Callithrix jacchus: one gene and its partner. The protein of the gene in region 2 interacts with the protein of the main gene of each other region in a biochemical or structural test. Links are inferred from orthologs where the notes say so. Each region holds a gene or a part of one and is shown on either strand. Other genes may lie near its edges.

The links.
Region 1: of the proteins of ITCH (region 2) and NFE2, one has a biochemical effect on the other in vitro, tested with the Homo sapiens proteins (2 studies listed by BioGRID, with this or other methods). The link is inferred for Callithrix jacchus from reciprocal best matches to the Homo sapiens genes ITCH and NFE2.

The regions. Positions count from the first base shown.
Region 1 is NC_133510.1:65,248,253-65,258,214, reverse strand, and holds the start of NFE2 (transcription factor NF-E2 45 kDa subunit), read right to left. Parts: upstream 8,840-9,962; 5' UTR 8,598-8,839; intron 2,893-8,597; 5' UTR 2,837-2,892; coding exon 2,723-2,836; intron 1,253-2,722; coding exon 245-1,252; 3' UTR 1-244. UniProt on the Homo sapiens protein: Component of the NF-E2 complex essential for regulating erythroid and megakaryocytic maturation and differentiation. Binds to the hypersensitive site 2 (HS2) of the beta-globin control region (LCR).
Region 2 is NC_133506.1:4,795,295-4,805,676, forward strand, and holds the end of ITCH (E3 ubiquitin-protein ligase Itchy homolog), read right to left. Parts: intron 9,793-10,382; coding exon 9,720-9,792; intron 6,817-9,719; coding exon 6,717-6,816; 3' UTR 4,037-6,716; downstream 1-4,036. UniProt on the Homo sapiens protein: Acts as an Acts as an E3 ubiquitin-protein ligase which accepts ubiquitin from an E2 ubiquitin-conjugating enzyme in the form of a thioester and then directly transfers the ubiquitin to targeted substrates.

The DNA of each region.
Region 1 (9,962 bases), on a different chromosome or scaffold from region 2:
ACCAAAGCTTGGACAAGAGGTGGAGGCTGAAGACCTGAGAAGCTGAGTCAGGGAAGACAGATTCCAGCCCTCCCTCAAGGCAAGCCTCTTTGAACACACCTTGGAACTTCTAAACACCCATTCCCATTGTCATCCTCGTCTGGTCTAGAGAACTCAGCTCTTTCTGGCTCTCAGGGTTGGGGAGTACCTTTATCAGAAGGGAATGAAGAAAACCCCATCACCAGTTCCACCCCTCTGCGCCAGCTCAGTCTGTGGCCTCCATCTTGGTCCCCCGGGGCACCAGGAAGATGGTCCCATCGGCAGCCTGTTGCAGCGCATACTCTTCAGGAGAGTAGCTGTTGCCTGATTCATCCCGAAGGTGCTGGAAAATGTCACGATATAGCTCTGTCAGCTGTTGGCGCATGACCTCCAGGGTCCGGTCGGCCTCCCCGCGGGCCCTGAGAAGCCGCTCCCGCTCATTGCTCAGCCGCTCCAGCTCCCGCTCCAGCTGCACTATGGTTTCCAGCTTCCTCTTGCGGCAGTTCTGGGCTGCCACCTTGTTTTTGCCCCGTCGTCGGATGTCCCGGACTAGCGCCAGCTGGCTCTCTGTCAGCGGGTACCTCGCCAATAGCTCATTAAAGTCATCTACCGGCAAGTTGACAATCTTGTCTGTAGGAAAAGGAATCTTCATGGCCAAGGCCCGACGTTCATCCCGACTCCCTGCCTCCCCCCGTGCAGTGGGCTTAGCCCGCACAGGGCCTGAGGAGGGCTCTAAGGCCGAGGGGGTCTCAGCAGCTGGCAAGGTATAGTTGGAGTGGGCCAAGGAGTTGGGCATGAGTGAGTAGGGGTACTCCACTGGGTACATCTCTACATATTCGCTGCGCCGCCGACCAGCCTCTGTCCCCTCCAGCTCAAGGGATTCAGCATCGCTATAGTTGAGGGATAATCCTGAGTCGGATTCTGGGTCTTCTTGGGGCTTAGGTGGTCCCGCTGGCAGCCCAATGTCCAGGAGGGCTAAGGGGTCTGGGAGCGGCTCACTGAGCAGGCCTGAGAGGGTCAGTGGCTTGGAGACTGGTATAGCCATGTTGCCATAGGAGTATGGGGGATCTGGGACATGGGATGTGGATGCTGGGAGTTCATAAGGTGGTGGAGGAAGTGGGAAGCCAGCGTCTGGGTGGATTGAGCAGGGGCAGTAAGCTGTGGGTGGTGGAGGTCCAAGGTATGGGGCTGGGGCTTGGGGCTCAAACGATGGCTCACTTGGAGCATTTAGACCCTGTAAAGAAAGACACAAAGAGATTTGGAGATAGACTAAGGAAGAGAAACCAACACTCTCTAAGGACCAAGTTGAATTCTTCTGAAAGACCCAGTGAGATAGTAACAAGGAAACAAAGTTGCCACAAATCTTTGGAAGCTACTTGCAAAGTTGTGATACAGTTGTTCCAAGAAAAATGCAGTTTAAGATGGGGTGCAGCAGCTCACACCTGTAATCCTAGCACTATGGGAGGCCAGTGCAGCAGATTACCTGAGGTCAGGAGTTCAAGACCAGCCTGGCCAACATGGTGAAACCCCGTCTCTGCTAAAAAAACAAAAATTAGCTGGGTGTGGTGATGAACGCCTGTAATCCCAGCTACTTGGGAGGCTGAGGCAGGAGAATTGCTTGAACTCGGGAGGTGGAGATTGAAGTAAGCCAACATGGTGCCACTGTACTCCAGCCTGGGCAACAGAGCAAGACTCCATCTCAAAAAAAAGAAAAAGAAAAGAAAAGAAAAGAAAAATGCAACTTTGGCAAGAATGGAAGTCACTGAGGTTGGACTGCAGAAAAGACTAACATTGGAACAATTATGAACACTCCTTCTTGGAGAAGTTCTAACTGGGTTAAAATGGCTCATGTTCCTTTATTTCCTTCAGGAAGTCAAAGCCTTGTTCTCCAAGATGACCTCTCAGAACCCTTTCCTGCTGCAGTTATCTAGGGTTGAAGGGTCAAGTTCAGATTCTGGCCATGCCCCGGATGCCCAGCAGAGGGAGCTGCTGTGTGGAAAGAGTGCCTAGGGCAGATCCTGAGGGTGCTAGGCATGGTGGCAGGGCAGAAAAAGGGGTCAGGCGTGGGGCTAAGAAGCTCCTTGGGGAGCCAGCACAAGCTCTGCCCTCTCCTCTTTAGTCCCTCTGTCCCTGCCCAGGTGCAGCGAGAAGAAGAGAACATGCTGGAAACAAGGCCCCCAACCCACATAGGGGAGCAACCCTGCTCTAGCCCAGCTGGGGACAAAGGCATCATTGTTAGGCCAACAGACACCCCTTTGTCCAAGTAGCAGGAGGAGAGGACCCTGGCATAGTCCGACTCCCCTTCCAGAGGCCCCTGAACTACTGCTCTGCTACCTGGGGGAAAGCGGCCTAGTTGCTAAGGGCAGGGGGAGGAAATGAGGGAAGAAGATGGCAGGATCAGAGAGAGAGGTCAGAAGAGAAGAAGGTGAGCAAGGGAGGGAGAGCAGGAGTGGGAGTGTGTAGAGAGAGATGTGGCTGCTGAGAGAGCCTACACTCTCAATCAGACCCTTCCCTCCTCACCACTGCTCTTCCACTCCTCAATGTTCCTCAGTGCCTTCCATCCAGATCTTTCCCAGCCCTTCCTTTTCCAGTGCCTGGAGCATTACCAGCCTGATCCCTGCTTGCTCCCAGCTTCAGTGCAGGCCAACTCCCTGCTTCTCTCTTCTCTGACACACCCCTCCCCTGCCTCCCCCTCCTTACTCACCTGCAGCTCGGTGATGGACATGATCTCCTGCCAAGTCAGTTCCATCTCTCCTAGTTCTGAAGTACACAGCTGTATCACTCTGTTCCTGCTCTGCTGGGGAGGACACGGGGACATCCTACTGGGCCAGAGTGTGGTCCAGGTTCCCCCAAAGCCCAGATGGCTCTAGAATCCTGTGTCAAAGAAAAGAGGTGCTAGAGCAACACCTGCTAGGGTCAGCAAGTTTGCGCTACCTCCTTGGAAGGGATCCCTCTCCCTGGAAGGAGAGACCTCTTCCTCCCCACCCTCACTCATGCTGGACTCATCAACCAATCCCTTAAAATGGGGTGTGATCTCCACTTCGCTGACTACGGCCACAATCAATTCCTTTGGCAGCACAGGAGGTCTTTACCTTTTTTCCAGGAAAAATGCCCACTCTTTCCCCTCCTTTTTAGCCCCTAAAACTGTTTTCCTGGCTAGGGGCAGAGTCAGGTCTTCTGCTTTTCTGTTTTGCTATGTTTTCTTTTCCATTTTCTAGGGCAGCATCAGGGGTGCCCTCCTTTCCTCCTCTGTCCTCAGTGTTAGGTTCTCACCCTTTTCTTTCCAAGATGATGACAATATATGCTTGGGGATCCCCAAGAGCATGTTGTGGAAAGAGTCAAGCAGACAACCCCTCCCCCTCTCCAAGATATGGCCCAGGCCTGGCGGCTGATAGCAGCTCTGCCCTCTCCTCCTATCCTGGCCCTGGGCTCCCCTGCCTAGGCCAGATAAGAGGTTTATCAGCTGCAGGCAGGAGAGGCACAGAAGGAATGGGCTCTGGAGACACTGGACCTCGGTCCTGTGTCCTCACAGGGTCATTTGGTCCACACCCGAACCCATACAACCACAAGCCTTTCCTCTTCTGCGGTAATATAACAACCTTAGTAAAGACTTAGTAAGCACTTGTTAAGAACTGTACTGGGGTGTTGCAAGCTTAGTTTGTAAGATTGGTTTTCATAAAGATTCTAAAGGTGCATCAGACACCGAGACTGAAGCTGATAAATAAAAGCAGGATGAAGTCTAGAACCTGACTCTACTCAACTATAATGTCTTCTAGGCACTTCCCATCCTGCCCCTGTATCTCCATACTCCAAAGCTCTGTTGGAAATCTACATTCGTCAGTTCTTTCTGTGGAGTGTCAGTCTCTCTTTCACCTTCTTGTCAATATCGCTTTAGAGCCTTGAATACACTCTCCCCTCCAGTCCCTTGTCTTTTGACCTGGGTTCTAGTTGTAGCTCTGCCACAAAGCAGCAGTGTGATGTTGGGCAAGCCGTCTCACTTCTCTGGGCCTCTGTTTCCTCATTTGTAAAACCAGGGAGTTGGACAAGTTGACCTTGGAGGTCCCTTTCTGCTTGGAATTCTCAGCAAACCCTCTCCCCTGCCTTTATCTTCTCTGTCAGTCCCTCTCCTCATGCTACCTCCCTATTCCCTAACACCACTTTCCTCGAATCTGTTTTCCCTGCCTTCAGCAAGAGATTCCAAGTAGATTTGGCAGAGCCTTCCTGATCTCTTGGAGTCAGACACTGTGTGTATATTGCACACACACAGACATACCCTAACATATAAGTAAAGGGAAGCAGACTAGGGTAAAGGAAACATAGGAGAGCGGAAGCATTTTGGGAGGCTGAGGTGGGAGGATCGCTTAAGCCCAGGAGTTTGAGATCAGCCTGGCGAACATGGTGAAAACCCATCTCCACTAAAAATGCAAAAATTAGCCAGGCATGGTGGCACACGTCTGTGGTCCCAGCTACTCAAGAGACTGAAGGGGAAGGATCATTTGAACCTGAAAGATTAAGCCTGCTGTGAGCCATGATTGTGCCACCACATTCGAGCCTGGGTGACAGAGCAAGACCCTGTCTCAGAAAAAAAAAAAAGAGGCCAGGCAGCACAGTAGCTCACGCCTGTAATACCAGAGCTTTGGGAGGCTGAGGCAGGTGATCATCTGAGGTCAGGAGTTTGAGACCACCCTGGCTAACATGGTGAAACCCCATCTCTACTAAAAATACAAAAAATTAGCTGGGCATGGTGGCGCGTGCCTGTAATCCTAGCTACTCAGGAGGCTGAGGCAGGAGAATTGCCTGAACCCAGGAGGTGGAGGTTGTGGTGAGCTGAGATCTTGCCATTGCACTCCAGCTTGGGTAACAAGAGCGAAACTCCGTCTCAAAAAAAACAAAAAAAATTTTAAAAAAAAGAACGGAGGATAGGACTGTACGACCTCAAATTGCATGACCTTAGACCGCTCACCACAAGGATGGCCCATCACAGCAATTTAATATGGAAACTGCTCTTTGACTTACTACAAAATTAGTAGGAACTACAAATGATCCTTTTGAAAGAGTATCCCCTAGCCCTTGCCTCCATCCCCTTGTTATATTGTATCCCCATAGATGGGAGTTGGTGTAGGCAACTCTGCCAGTGGGCAGAGTGGGTGGGGTGTTTATGTCTGCCCAGGATGCCATTTCAACACCGGAACTCCACCCTCCTCCACCCAGGTTCTGGCGGAAATTGCCCAAAGGCAAAGTGAATGGAGAAGGGGTTTAGGGCGCAGAGACAATAACTCTTGCTTCATAGTTCTTTACTCACCCCAACCCCCCATTGTCTCTCCTTTTATCTTCCTGGATCTGACACTAAGGTGCAGTACACAGATCCTGCCCTAGGAGGCAGGAGACCTAGGTTTTCTGGCACTTAAGATACATGAGGCTGAGGTCGGTGGATCACCTGAGGTCAGGAGTTCAAGACCAGCCTAACCAACATGGAGAAACCCCATCTCTACTAAAAATACAAAATTAGCCAGGCATGGTGACATGAACCTGTAGTCTCAGCTACTGGGGAGGCTGAGGCAAGAGAATCACTTGAACCCGGGAGGCAGAGGTTACAAGATCACACCATTGGGGAGCAAGAGCAAAACTCTGTCTCAAAAACAAAAAGATATACAACCTTGGGCAAATTGCTTCACACTCAGCCCCTTCTATTAAATGGAGACAGGACTAGGAACCCAATTGCTGTGAAAGGCCTTACGTTGCATCTAGCTCAGGGAGTCACAAACTTCATTGTGTGCCACATTCACCTGAGCTACATGTAAAAACACAGATTCCTGAAAGCCACTTCTAATCTACTGAATAGAAACCATAGACCCAGGAATCAGCATTTTAAAAGTGCCCCAGTGGCTGTGTGCAGTGGCTCGTGCTTGTAATCCCAGCACTTTGGGAGGCTGAGATGGGTGGATCACCTGAGGTCAGGAGTTTGAGACCAGCCTGGCCAACATGGCAAAACCTCATCTCTACTGAAAATACAAAAATTATCTGGGTATGGTGGCAGGCACCTTAGGAGGCTGAGGCATGAGAATTGCTTGAACCCAGGATGTGGGTTCAAGATAATGCCACTACACTCCAGCCTGGGTGACAGAGTACAAAAAAAAAAAAAAAAAAGAAGAGGAGCAAGAGGAGAAGGAGACTGGGGGAGAGGGAGTGGAGAAGAACCTCTGGATCCAATCCAACCAGCAAGCTCTTGGGTGCGGTAGCAAGTTTGTACCAGGTGGCACATGGGGCAGGATGCTTTTCTCTAGACACTCAAGGATGGGTGTCTAGAGAAGACACTCAGGCATAGGTCCCTCTGGGTCTCCAGAGCCTTCCTTTCAGAGGACATGAGAGCTGGCAAGCAGTGGGACAGATCAGGGAGGTAGAATTGGATGAAATAGAACACCATAGAAGGTATAGAAACTGGAGAGATACTAGGAAAGTGAAGTGGGCTTCCCTGTGTTTTTTTGCTTTTAAAATAAGAAGCTCCTACTTTACAGTTTAGCTTGCATTTTGAGGCCACATGACTATCTTACTCCCACTGGGTTGTCTGTTCCTTCTCTTACTCCCCAACATTGTGGATCAGGTAGAAATGAGGTTGTCACTCCTCCTTACTCTTATCTTGGTGGTCCTACCCAGAAAAAGTTTTATCATAATGCCTAAGTACTAACAGAATGATATGGAGCTTCATGCTTAGGAATACAGAGTGGGGCCGGGTGCAGTGGCTCAAGCCTGTAATCCCAGCACTTTTGGGAGGCTGAGGCGGGTTGATCATGAGGTCAAAAGTTCGAGACCAGCCTGACCAACATGGTGAAACACCATCTCTACTAAAAATACAAAAATTTGGGCCGGGCACGGTGGCTCAAGCCTGTAATCCCAGCACTTTGGGAGGCCGAGGCGGGTGGATCACGAGGTCAAGAGATCGAGACCATCCTGGTCAACATGGTGAAAGCCTGTCTCTACTAAAAATACAAAAAAAATTAGCTGGGCATGGTGGCGCGTGCCTGTAATCCCAGCTACTCAGGATGCTGAGGCAGGAGAATTGCTGATCCCAGGAGGTGGAGGTTGCGGTGAGCCGAGATCGCGCCATTGCACTCCAGCCTGGGTAACAAGAGCGAAACTGTGTCTCAAACAAAACAAAAATTAGCCAGTTGTGGTGGTGAATGCCTGTAATCCCAGCTACTCGGGAGGCTGAGGCAGAAAAATAGCTTGAACCTGGGAGGCGGAGGTTGCGGTGAGCTGAGATTGTGCCTTTGCACTCCAGCCTGGGCAACAAAAGCGAAACTCCATCTCAAAAAAAAAAAAAAAATTCTGTGCTGAGCCAAGTCAGAAAAAAAGAAAAGAAAATACAAAAAAAAAAAAAGAAAAGAAAAAGAAGAAGAAGTAAAAGAAAAAAAGGAATACAGAATGGGGACCATTTGGAGAGGATGATGGAGAGAGGAGGGCATTTGGCCTTGGCCGCTGCCCCAGAGCTCTTCACTTCCTTGACAAGGGGGAACGATGAGAGGAGGCTTGCCTCAGGATCCCTTTTCTAAGGCTTATTTGACTATCTCACCTCTCCAGGTGTCAATAGGTGCACTGAAAGGATAGGGAGGGATTATTAAAACCTGGAGTCTGGGTTGGCAGGTGAGCAACCTGTTTAGAAAGATCTCCCCAGAACTCCCAAAGGGAGAGCGACACACAGAGATGAGACAGAGAATGATGGGGAAAAAAAGGAGGGCGAGAGATTTGAGTATCGTGAGTTCAGTGCTCTGGGAACATGCATGACTCAAAGAAATGTGTGAGAACAAGGGAGACGGGGACAAGTTTCTGCTATCCTGTCACTCCATCCCTGGACCCCAAACTTCAGTCCTTTGGTACCAATGTCTAGAGAATCCCAGCCCCAGCAGTTCTGATATCTCCTCTCTTCTCTTCCACTGCTTCGCAAGCCCCTATTTCCCAAGCAGCCAAGAGTTCCAGTTAGAAGCAACTGTGCTGGGGTTGGGATGCCTTCCATCCCTCTCCAGGTCCCGCTGACCTACTGCTCCTGGGCACAGAGAAGAGAAAGAGCAACGACAGGCAAGAACCCAGGGGCGACCCATCCAACCACCTGAACCTTGCGACGCTTCTCAGAGGTCCAGATATCCAGTGTTTCCAACTCCTTAGCTTTCCCCAAACCTTCTCAATTAGCTAGACAGGGCAGAGGAATGGAATGGGGTCGGGGAAAGGATGACATCATATACCTGGAAATCTGTTGGTTCCCCCAGGGCAGCCCACCAGTTGAAGGATATTTCCTGGCTACTCCCCAGCTCCTCAGGGCTGCCTTGCCTCGGGAGACTACTCTCTGGTCCACATTCACAGCCTTCTACCCCAAGGATCCCAGAACACCTGGGAAACCATTTAGGTCTTCTCCTACAGGAGTTCCCAAAGATGTCAAACTGCTAAACGAGGGGCAATCTAGAAAGGTCTGAGGTCTCCTAGGAACATACTGAAAGTTGGTGATTTTCCTTCCTCACCTCCTTCACCCTCCAGCCTGACCCTAGAATCCCACTGGAATCCCCCCACCCATCCCACCTTTCAGGCACCTGTGGCAGAGTCCCAGCAGGGTGAGGAGAAAGACGAGGCTCCTGGTGTTGTCTCTGGAGAGGCTGAGCCTGAGCTGACACTGCTGGACGAGGATCCCGGCTACCTTTGAGAATCTGCAAGGGCCGCGCCCCGCCCCCGGGCCATTGCTGAGCACGGAGTGTGGAGGCTCACGCTTAGGCTGAGCACAGGGAGCCCCAAGCAGGGGCACCAGCCTTCTCTCTGAAGCCCTCGGCTTGAGTTCTCAGTCCTGCCTCCAACCCTCCCCTTTCCCCGTGGCTCTCCTCTCCTCCTGCCCCTTTCGGCCAAGAGAGGAAACTTGAGCCCGATGTGGTTTCTGCCCACACCCCGCCCCCACCATGCTCCTGGCCAGCGGGGGCACACATGGCTCCAGGCCTCTCCCAGGAGTCCCGCCAGGTCTGCGTTTCTTCCACGCATATGATGAATTCTAACCTGATGGTCCACTCGAACATGACCTTTACATTTTATACAGGCTGTTGTTGCCTGCTGTCCCCATGGCTCTCTTAGGCATGGGGAAACTGAGTCATATCAAGGTGGAAGGCAGTTGGAGGTAAGGACCAGGTGTCTAGCTTCCCAGCTGTCTAAGCAGGTGAGCATTTAGGGCATAGCCTTCATTTAAGGAAAACCTGGGCTCTGGGAACAAGGGCAGGGGAACTATTTGGAGGAGGAGGGGCCACTGGCTGCTTTGATGTGTCCTTTCACCTGTAGCCTTCTCCCCTCCCCCCTCAGCCTCAGATGTCCTAGGACAAAGGCCTCTTTCTTGGCCAGGTTTTTGTTAGTGTGTGAGGGGAGTTAGGTGGGGGGCCACCCAGCAGGGAGATTATTCACCTCCCTTAAAGGGGACCCCAGGTGCCCTTTGTCCTCCTTTCTTCCAGGCAAAGCACCCCAGCCACATGGCATCCAGCTCCCTTAGGCCAGTAAGTACCCTTATTCATCTTTTTTTCCCTCTCTTTTTTTCCAGAGGCTCACTCTGTTGCCCAGGCTGGAGTGCAGTGGCATGAGCTTGTTTCACTACAATTTCAACCTCCTAGGCTTAAGCAATCCTCCCACCTCAGCCTCCCAAGTAGCTGGGACTGTAGGTCAGCACCATCATGCCCAGCAAATTTTTCTTTTTCTTTTTGGTAGAAGTGGTGTCTCACTATGTTCTGTTGGCTGGTGTTGAATTCCTGGGCTCAAGCAATCCTCCTGCTTTGGCCTCCCAAAGTGCTGGGATTACAGGCATGAGCCACTTCACCCAGCCCACTTGTTTATCCTTTTGCCTCCAAGCTACACAACCAAAGCGGCACAACCAGAGGTCAAACAGCTCTTTCTCCAGATACTATGAGAAAAGAGTCTTTCTTCCTCCT
Region 2 (10,382 bases):
GAGTTCGAGAACAGCCTCGGCAACATGGCGACACCTCGTCTCTACTAAAAAAAAAAAAAAAAAAAAAAAAAAAAAAAGGAAGGTAGCCGGGCGTGGTGGCTCGCGCCTGTGGTCCCAGCTACTGGGAGGTAGCTGAGGTGGGAGGATCGTTCGAGGCTCAGTGAGCCAAGATCGCGCCACTGCACTCCAGCCTGGGCGACAGAGCGAGAGACCCTAACTCACAAAAAAAGAACATGCTGGTTCTCGGTATCGGAAGGTGCTTTCAGCTCTCAATGGAGTTCTAAGCTGGCTCTGAAGTCCCTGGGTGGAGCGTGGTGGGAGAGTATGAAGGCGAGTGGGGCGGTTGCTGAGACCCCTTTGAGCCCAGACGGAGAGAGAGGCTCCCAGTGCCCAAATGCGCTTCGGGATCGGGCAGGCCAGGGATGGGGCTGGAGTCTCCGGGGAAGAGGCTGTGCAAACTCGGAGATGAATTGGTTAGGGCTGGCCTGGGAGTCTACAGAATCCGAGCTCAGCCACAGCTGAATCCCCGCGTTACCTAGGAGAAACCACTTCACATCTTTGTGTTCTATCCTGTTCTCACCTCTAAAAGGGGGACCCTTCTTACCAGAGTCCAGTGTTGTCCGGGTTTTCGTTCTTTAGCATTCTATTCTCGCAGGCCGCAAACATTTCTGGGTCCTCTAAGTAGGAAATAACTTCGGTTAAAACATGCTGCCGTTTAGTGAACCCTGTGCCACATTACTGTGCTGAACACGCACATGCCTTATCACCAGTAAGCTTCACCGAATACTTTATAAGTGCCTTTTCTCCCAGGCACTGTAGCTTGTTGGATTCAACGATAATCTTAACTCCAAAATTTCATTCCACGGTAGCTGCTCTTCAGTGAGGAAGGATTTGGTTCTCCTTCGAAATGTAAGTGTCTGCATGTTAAGAGGATTGACTTTTTGTATTAAAATACAAAATTAGCCGGGCATGGAGGTGGGCGCCTGTAATCCCAGCTACTCGGGAGGGTGAAGCAGAATTGCTTGAAATCGGGCGGGGGAGGTTGCAGTGAGCCGAGATCGCGCCACTGCACTCCAGCTTGGGCGACAGAACGAGACTCTAGTTTCGGAAAAAAAAAAAAAAAAAAAAAAAAGTTTTGGGAATAGATTTGATAGGATTTGGAGGCTAATTAAATGTAATGGCAAAACTGGTCACTCCCGGTGTTGTGGTATGTAAGTAGCAGTACAGCAAAATGGTTAAGTATACATGCTCTGGAGTCAAACCGTCCTGGATTCCAATCTGTACTTTCTACTTAATAGTTGTGAACATGATTCAATCATTTGGAGCCTCTATTGTCTTGTGAAACAGAAATCGTTCCCAGTAACAGGAAGACTAAGTGACACTGCACATAGCATATCTACTAGTGTCCTGCACATAGTGATAAATGTTGACAGTTGTTTTGGTATTAAGTGAATGTTGGTGTGGGGTATTGGTTGCTATGATATGGAAGACAAATAGAAGAACAGGTCTGAATTAGAAGAAAAGTAACAGGAGGGCTGTTTTTAGTGATCTTGCAAGTATGACTACAAATTCTCCAGGTTCTTCCCTGCGGGGTGCTTTGAGGAAATCCCTTTGTTCATAGCCACTCTTCACTTATTAACAGGACCCTGTTTACAAGGGATCAACAGTGTCCTTTGGGGGTTTATGTTTAAGGTCCTCTTTTCCTTGCCAACCACAAAGTTTCTCCTGGCTCCTCACTACAGATATCCTGATCACAAAGGAGTCCTACAAACATGGAAGATTCGACAACTGAAATAGGCTGGGAGAGACAGCAACTCCTAGAGTTATACAATGTTTGAGACACTTGAAAAGTCCAGAGAACAGCCAGTCAGCCACAGCTGAGTCCCAGTTTGATGCTTTGTAGGGTTTTGGATGAGAGACAATGGTTAATAAGAACAATTACTTATTCCCCATAGGTTTCCACATGCTGAGGGGGACATATCTTGTCCCTTATTCTAAGCACATTGAAACTACAGCATTCTAGCAGCTTCCACTGGACAGACTAAACAGCTACTCAGGACCTGGGAGAGGCCTGCAGTTTCTGTCCCCTAGGCCCATGTTAGATCAGCTGTATTAAAAAATTCCTCTTGCCTTAGTCCCTTTCCACTGGTTTTGTTTTAAATGAGAGCATAATCACCTGAGTTTCCCAATAAGAAAAAGGTCTATGAAGATGGTAAGCAGGCCAGCTGGTTGATAACACTCTTGGTAACAGTCTTGATAGCTAGCTAGTTGGTGGTTCTCTACTTAGCACTCCTGCCTGTGGTCCCATCTTTCAGTTGTCTCAGAAAACAATTCACATGGAGGCCTTCATGTTAGTCAACAGCCCCTGGAGATATCTTCATCTTCAACATGGGCACCAAATCCAGTCTCATCTGCGTAGCAATTTCTAGTATTTTTACTCATATTGTGGTAGGCCAGGTCTTAATAACACAGGTCTCCATAACAACTGTTTCAGCACTGACTGAGTGGTTAAGTTAAATATTAAAAGCTAAAAAAGTCAGGGCCCTTATACAAAAGCCCACCAAGGGTTTTGCCCAGGCCTTTCCTGGGCCTTGAAGCATGACAAGATAACAAAGGAATTAACAGGATCCATTTAGGATTAGACAAGTTTTATTGGGGGTCTGAAGGAACTTTTTCTGAAGGCCCCCACAAACAAGTTTACTGGGGGGTCTGAAGGGTAATCATTCACCCCAGCACCTGGATCCATTTAGATTCAGTAAATTTACTGAGGCTCCAGAAGAAGGTCTTTGGGACTCAGATCTTAGTTATAGATTTAAAAAAGCTAATCACTTATGTCTTTAGATGAATGCACACTTACACATAGACATACAGATTAGAAGGTAAATAAGCTCTGGAAAACTTTGTACTTTTGAGTTGGTCTGGGGATAATTTCCAGGCCTTCTCCCCATACCCATTACTGAAGTAAACTCCCTCCTTTCCCAGTTCATCTGCACCTCATTATTGGGCTGCAAGAATAAGGAGCCTGACCCTTGTTTTGGTCCGGGAACAATACCACAATACAGACATACTGTAACTTGCCACATAAAAAAGCAGAGAGGCAGAAGTCTATGTGACCTAGTCATTTTAAGTCTTCTCTGAAGGCGGGGCCGGGGAAAGAGTAAAGAGACCCCATCTTACCCATGACTAACAGAAAAGCATGCAAATCAAGGACCAAAAAGTTTAATTATAAACAGTTTTACATCTTTTAGGAAAACGTTAAGTGAGGCAACCACTGAAGGAACTTTATGAAAGCATTTGACTTCCTGTAATATTTGTAGCATTACCTGAGTATTAGAAGTAACAGATCAAGAAAATAAAGGTACTCTTAATACAGTAATATACAAATATACCAACAATTTTGTAAATAACTAAAAGAAAAAAAAAGGAGGTGGGGGCTGGAGATGCCAACAATACTAAATAGAAGTAGTTAACTCTAAAGGAGTTTAGAAAGATGAAGTAACATCCAAAACAAGAGGAAAAGTTTAATTCCATGAGTCAACCCTGATTAACATTTCAGATTATTAACCAGATAAGTAAAAAGTGGTAGAGCGGGCTTGATTGAAATAGTTCGTTTAGGATGAGAACTTTGTGTATAGTTGAACATGTTTCACTAAAATTTCTAGTCATTGGTATGTCAATCTCTTGATGAAAAATCAGTACCTGAATATGTCTTTTTGTTGCTTTAAGAGACAGGGTCTCGCTATGTTGCCCAGGTTGGATTTGAACTTCTGGACTCAAGCGATCCTCCCACCTCAGCCTCCCAAGTACAATACCTGAATTTTAAATAGAGTTATTGTAAGTTTTATGAAATGAGGTTCTTCTGTACTCTGACATAATAAAAGACAGAGCAGGAATTCATTATTATGAGCTGTTTGATCAGTTTTAAACCACTCCATTTGATCAAAAAAGTGAGGTCCTTCCCTCCTGACCAGGCTGTGGAATGCTGTCTTCCCCAACCCCTGCCCCCTGCAAAAGAGCAGAAGAATAAGGCAATTGCTCATTTTACTTTGTTTTTATTTCAATGTAACATGCAGTAAAAAAAAATAATAATAATTAACAGGATTTATTAGCATTTACAATGCTTACAAAGAGAAAGAATTCTAAAAGCAATTTAGTTCAGATTTAAGAAAAAGGTCTACGTAAATACTTACAATAAATCTATTTCCATATGTTCAGTTTGGACCAAAATTTAAGATAGCATTTGGTAGATATTTATGTCTGCTATCTATTTGCAGTATTTTTATATAACCTCTGATTCTTGGGATATCCAGCCCCCATTTTCCTAACACAGCAGGGAAGACATATACATGTGGCCACTTAAATTAAAGGGAAAAATGGAGTAGGGAGATCCCAGGCTGCAAAAATATATACAAGCATTTACCTTTTCCAGAACTAAACACTTCTTCCATAAAAATATTAAATAGCCAAGCCCTATAGAACTAGGGCCAGGGCTACTTCAAATATAACTATTCTGTATTTTAAAAATATAGGGCAGAAAGCCTTTTGGGTGATATTTATATATTTTCACACAATATTTCTAGGTCCCTAAATGAATCATGAAGCATTATATAGAACAAAAAAAAAATCTATTTTCTTACATTATCTCTTAATTTAATCTCATAAATCTCTAGTAAATATTGTAGATAACTACATTTCAGTATGAGAATTCACCTCAACAGGAAGTCTTTATAGAGGGCTTAATCTTCATTAGCCATATATTACGAAGTTCAGACTTATATAATGAACGGGTAGTTGGCAGACATTCGCTCTGTAAGACAAAGCAATAGCATTTTCCCCCCCTACCAACAAAAAGGCAGAGTCCCTACTTTTAACAACTAGGGCTACTGGAAACCACACAGTATTTCCTGGGGTACATGAAATAAAAAAAAACCACAGGGCTGGGGAGAGCCTAGTCTCCCAATTTACACTGAGTTTCTTTGATGAGGCAACCTTTTCACTCATGTAAGTCTCTGCTTTATGATGGCAGTGTCTTGGAGTACAGATAGCCAAGTTAAAAAAAAAAAGTTTTTATTGTTGTTCCAGGATGTAAAAAGGAAGAGCATTAGGGCCAAAAAAAATATTTTTTTCCATATGGAACAGGGTTCTGCTGCTTGTTCTTGGCTTAATATTACTTGTTCATGCTATGCCTCTCAAACATGGCAAAGTCCCTTATACATGAGCTATGAGGCTGTCCTCACAGTACAGCTATAATAGGGACTCAGCTGGCTTAGGCTTCATTCCACTGCTCATAAAGTCCAATTTATAACAGCCATCTTGACAGTCTAAGCTAGGCCAATTTAAAAGAATTAACTCCAGAGAACTTCAAAGTACATTAATCAGTTAGTAATGGAGCAATCTAAACTTAAAATAGTCATGAGAAAAAAAGAAAACCCTGCTAAAAATTTTAAGGGTAAAAAGAATATTGCAGATGAGGGATATCAAACCATTTCAGGACAATGTAAAGAATGGAAATGACTACTCCAACATATGTCAGAGAAATGATAAATTTGAAGACTTTTAATTCACAGAGAATATATTCTTGTAGTTACTGGACGTTATCTTCCTTTCTTTTTAGCCCATACCACAGCTCTCCCTCTCAAATGAAAATTTGATGTCAGAAGCTATTTCATTGACCTCTATTTGGACTAGAAAGCACTCTTGTCTTTCTAGTCTTAAACTCCTTAACAATAATTAAATATAAACTGAAGTTGTTGGATTATGATAAAATTATAAAGCATCAGTTATGTAGAACATATAAAAATCACCAGTGATGTCCTTAGATGAATTCAATTAAATTAATTCTAATTCTAGGTTAACTTTTTTCCCATTTATTTTTCCCCCCAAAAGAGACAGGGTCTCCCTATGTGGCCCAGGCTGGTCCTGAACTCCTGTCCTCAAGGGATCCTTCTGCCTCAGCCTCCCAAGGTGCTAGGATTCCACGCCTGGCCCTAGGTTAACTTAAAACAACAACGAAGGAATCACAGTGTTAATATTGTTCGTAAAGTGTAGTATTTGCCAGGCAACTAAAACAATCAAACTTCCAAATGAAATTATTTAGAGGCTGTGACCAACTTTTCCCTGAATTCAAATTGACAAAACTACTTTGTAGAGAGATGCAGTAGTTTTGCATCACTTCCAGGAATGATGTATGGATTCATGCTCCAGAAAGGAAAGACAATAGTCAAGTCAGACTAAAATGAGGAGAACACAAGCCAAAATTTTGCTCACATCCCCAGAAGCTGGGGTAAGTTTGCACTTTTAACAAATGCCTCATCCCAAGAGGCTTAATAGGAAGATCTTGTATATTGCAGTTACCAAAGGACTTCCCTGCTTATCTCCAGAATTTGTAAAAGAAAAAAACCTACTCCCAAGTGAAACTTTTGACCTATATACAAAATTGTTAAGGGAACAAACTAGTGGAATAAGACAAGGCAGATTTCATTGCTGTGTTAAAATTTCATGTTAAGCAAAGTTTTGACTAGTCATTTGCAGACCTGATTTCTGGAAATGGTGAGTAGAAATCACTGGGTGATAAATTTTAATGATAACATTAATTTACTTACACTCAGATAACTCTCTAAAGAGCCACAGTCCAATTTTACAAGATGTGCAACAGGCAGAGAAGAACAAACATTGCAAACAAGTTCTTGCCCATTCACGATGCAAGTTCTCAGAAGTTACTCTTGTCCAAATCCTTCTGTTTCTTCTATGGCAAACAACAGCTTTTCTTTCAGTTGCTCATAGCTCTTGTATGGTGGCAGGTCCAGGCGATTAAAACTAAAAGCAAGAATTGTTAGTTTGAGAAAAGGAAATATGCAAAGAATCAAATGAGTAGTGTAGTATAACACCACTCCTATAGAAGCACAAAAATAAACTACTGTGCTTCAAAGGATACCGTCACGAAAGTGAAATAACTCAAAAATGGAAAAAAATATTTATAAATCATATATCTGATAAAGAACTGCTATCTAAAATATATAAAAAACTTAGAATTCAACAATATTTAAAAATGGGTAAAGGATACATTTCTCCAAAGGAGATATACAAATGACCAATAAACACATGAAAACAATGCTCAACATCCTTAGTCATTAGGTAAATGCAAATAAGATACACTTCACACCTACTGGGATGGCTATTATTTAAAACAACAACAACAAAAAGAAGAAAACAAGAGTTGAAAAGGATGTGAGGATGTGGAGAAATCAGAGCTTTTCTGCACTACTAGTAAGAATATAAAGGAGTGTAGCCCCTATGGAAAGCAGTATGGCGAGATTTCCCCCCCCAAAAAAAATTAAAAATAGAATTACTATACAATCATGCAGTTCTACCTCTGGGTATATACCTAAAACAATTGAAAGCAGGGACATGGGTAGATATACCTATATTCTACCACAGTATACCTATGTTTATAGCAGCATTATTCAAAATAGCCAAAAGGTGGAAATAACCTGTGTCCAGGGAGAGATGAATATACAAACAAAATGTAGTATATTCAGACTATCAAGTATTATTTACCATTAAAAAGGAGGAAATGCTGACACATGTTACAACATGGATGAAAATTAAAGATACTATTCTAAGTGAAATAAGCCAGTCACAAAAGGACAAATAAGGTATGATTCTACACTTAAGAAGTACTAAAGATAGTCAAAAATCATAGAAACAGTAGTAGAATGATGATTGCCAGGACCTGGGGAGAGGGAGTCATGGGGAGTTATTGTTTAAAGCAGCAGTCTCCAACCTTTTTGGCAACAGGGAATGTTTTTGTGGAAGACAATTTTTCCATGGACAGGAGTGGGGAGGGAGGTGGTTTCGGAAAGAAACTGTTCCACCTGAGATCATTGGATTCTCATAAGAAATGCGCAATCTATATTCCTCACAAGTACAGTTCATAACAGGGTACTTGCTCCTATGAGAATCTAATGCCTCTGCTGAACTGGCAAGTGGCAAAGATCAGCAAGTAATGCTCACTCACCCTCTGCTCACCTCCTGCTGTGCAGCCCAGTTCCTAACAGGCTGGGACCAGGACTTGAGGAACCCTGCTTTAGTGGGTACTATTTCAATTTTGCAAGATGAAAAGTTTTGGGTCAGGACAGTGGCCTATAATCCCAGCACTTTGGGAGACCAAGGCAGGAGTACTGCTTGAGCTCAGGAGGCCAATACCAGCCTGAACAACAAAGTGAGATTCTGTCTCTACAAAAAGTTAGAAATTAGCCAGGTGTGGTAGCACACACCTGTAGTCCCAGCTACTTGGGAGGCCAAGGTGGGAGGATCACTTGAGCCTGGGAGGTGGAGGCTGCATGAGTGAAGACCGAGCTACTTACTGTACTCCAAGTCTGGGTGACAGAGTGAGGTATGTCTCAAAAAAAAAGAAAAGAAACAATTTTTGGACATGAATGGTGGAGATGGCTGCATAATGATGTGAATGTACTTAATACCACTGAATGATAAACACAAATGGTAAATTCTATGTTATGTATATTAAACACAACAATTTTAAAAAGGAATGAAATACTGATATATGCTAGACTATGGGTGAACATTGAAAACATGCTAAGTAAAAGAAACTACACACAAAAAAGTTATATATTTGGCTGGGCATGGTGGCTCATGCCTGTAATCCCAGCACTTTGGGAGGCCAAGGTGGGTGGATCACCAGGTCTGGAGTTCAAGACCAGCCTGGCCAACATGGTGAAACCCTGTCTCTACTAAAAACAAAAAATTAGCCATGCGTGGTGGTGCACGCCTGTAGTCCCAGGTACTCAGGAGGCTGAGGCAGGAGACTCACTTGAACCCAGGAGGCAGAGGTTGCAGTGAGCTGAGCTTGTGCCACCGTACCCCAGCCTGAGCAACATAGCAAGACTCTGTCTCAAAAAAAAGGTCATATATTTATTGTGATTCATTTTACATGAAATGCACAGAAAAGAAAAATTCATAGAGACAGAAAGTAGATTAGTGGTTACCAAGGACTGCACAGGGGGTAAATGGGGAGTGACTGCTAATGGGTACATGGATTTTGGGGAACGTAAAAAAATGTTCTGGAATTAGATAGTAGTGATGCTCACATAACCTCGTAAATACACTAAAAACCACTGAACTCTACTGTATAATTTAAGAGGGTAAGTTTTTATATAGCAATAAAATTCTTACTAAAACATTACATGTATATATAAAACATGTATAAAAACAAACAGGAATAGACAATAAAACAGTAAAGAGGTCAGATGTCCAGCAAGGACCATATATGATCACTAAAATATATTGTTATTAGGTTGAATTCCAAAGTATTAATACATTTGCTCTAAGGTAAGGATTAGATTTGGTTTTCTACATTTCTAGAAATGTAATTAAATTAGATTTAAAATGAGAGTATTTGTGGTCATGATCTTATAAAGTAGATCTCCTAACTTTGACTTCTTTTTCTGCTTTTAGAGAAAAGTTAAAAGAATTCTAAATCCCACATTAAAAAAAAAATTCAGATGTGAAAAAAGGAATTGTTTGCAAATAGTTTTAAGAAATCATTTTGGGGTAAACAAAATGCTCTAAAACAGCATTGCTGTGATGGCTGTGCTGCGCTCTAAATCTACTAAATATCACTTTTAATTTCTAGCTGGCTTTAAATAGCTACAGATAACTGGACAAAGGCTATTTTCTCTATTTTTTCTGATTGTACTTACCAGGTATGACTTCTGGGTAGCCAGTTTTCTTTCCCAACTTTTTCAATGCAGAATTTCTGTGGTCCATTGCTCCCTAAAACATAATGGAATCATAAAGTTTGTTAGTATAGTAGATCTCAAATTGTGTTCCCCAATCCAACAGCATCAGCATCATGAGGAAATTTGTTAGAACCATAAATCCACAGGCCCCCCACATCAGCCTACTAATTCAGAAACTCTGGATCGGGTGTGGTGGCTCATGCCTATAATCCCAACACTTTGAGACTAAGGTGGGCAGAGCACTTGAGGTCAGGAGTTTAAGATCAGCCAAGCCAACATGGTGAATCTTGATCTCTACTAAAAATACAAAAATTAGCCAGGTGTGGTGGGTGCATGCCTGTAATCCCAGCTACTGGGGAGACTGAGGCAGGAGAATTGCTTGAATCTGGGCAGCAAGGTTGCAGTGAGTCAAGATCATGCCACTGCATTCCAACCTGGGTGACAGAGCGAAACCCTGTCTCAAAAAAACGAAACAGAACAAAAACACAAAAACCCCAAACCAACCAACCAACCAACCAACCAACAAAAAGAAATTATACGGGTGGGGCTCAGCAATATGTGCTTTAACAAGCTCCCAGGTGATTCTGTTAAATGTAAAAGTTTGATGACTCATTTGTTAATATA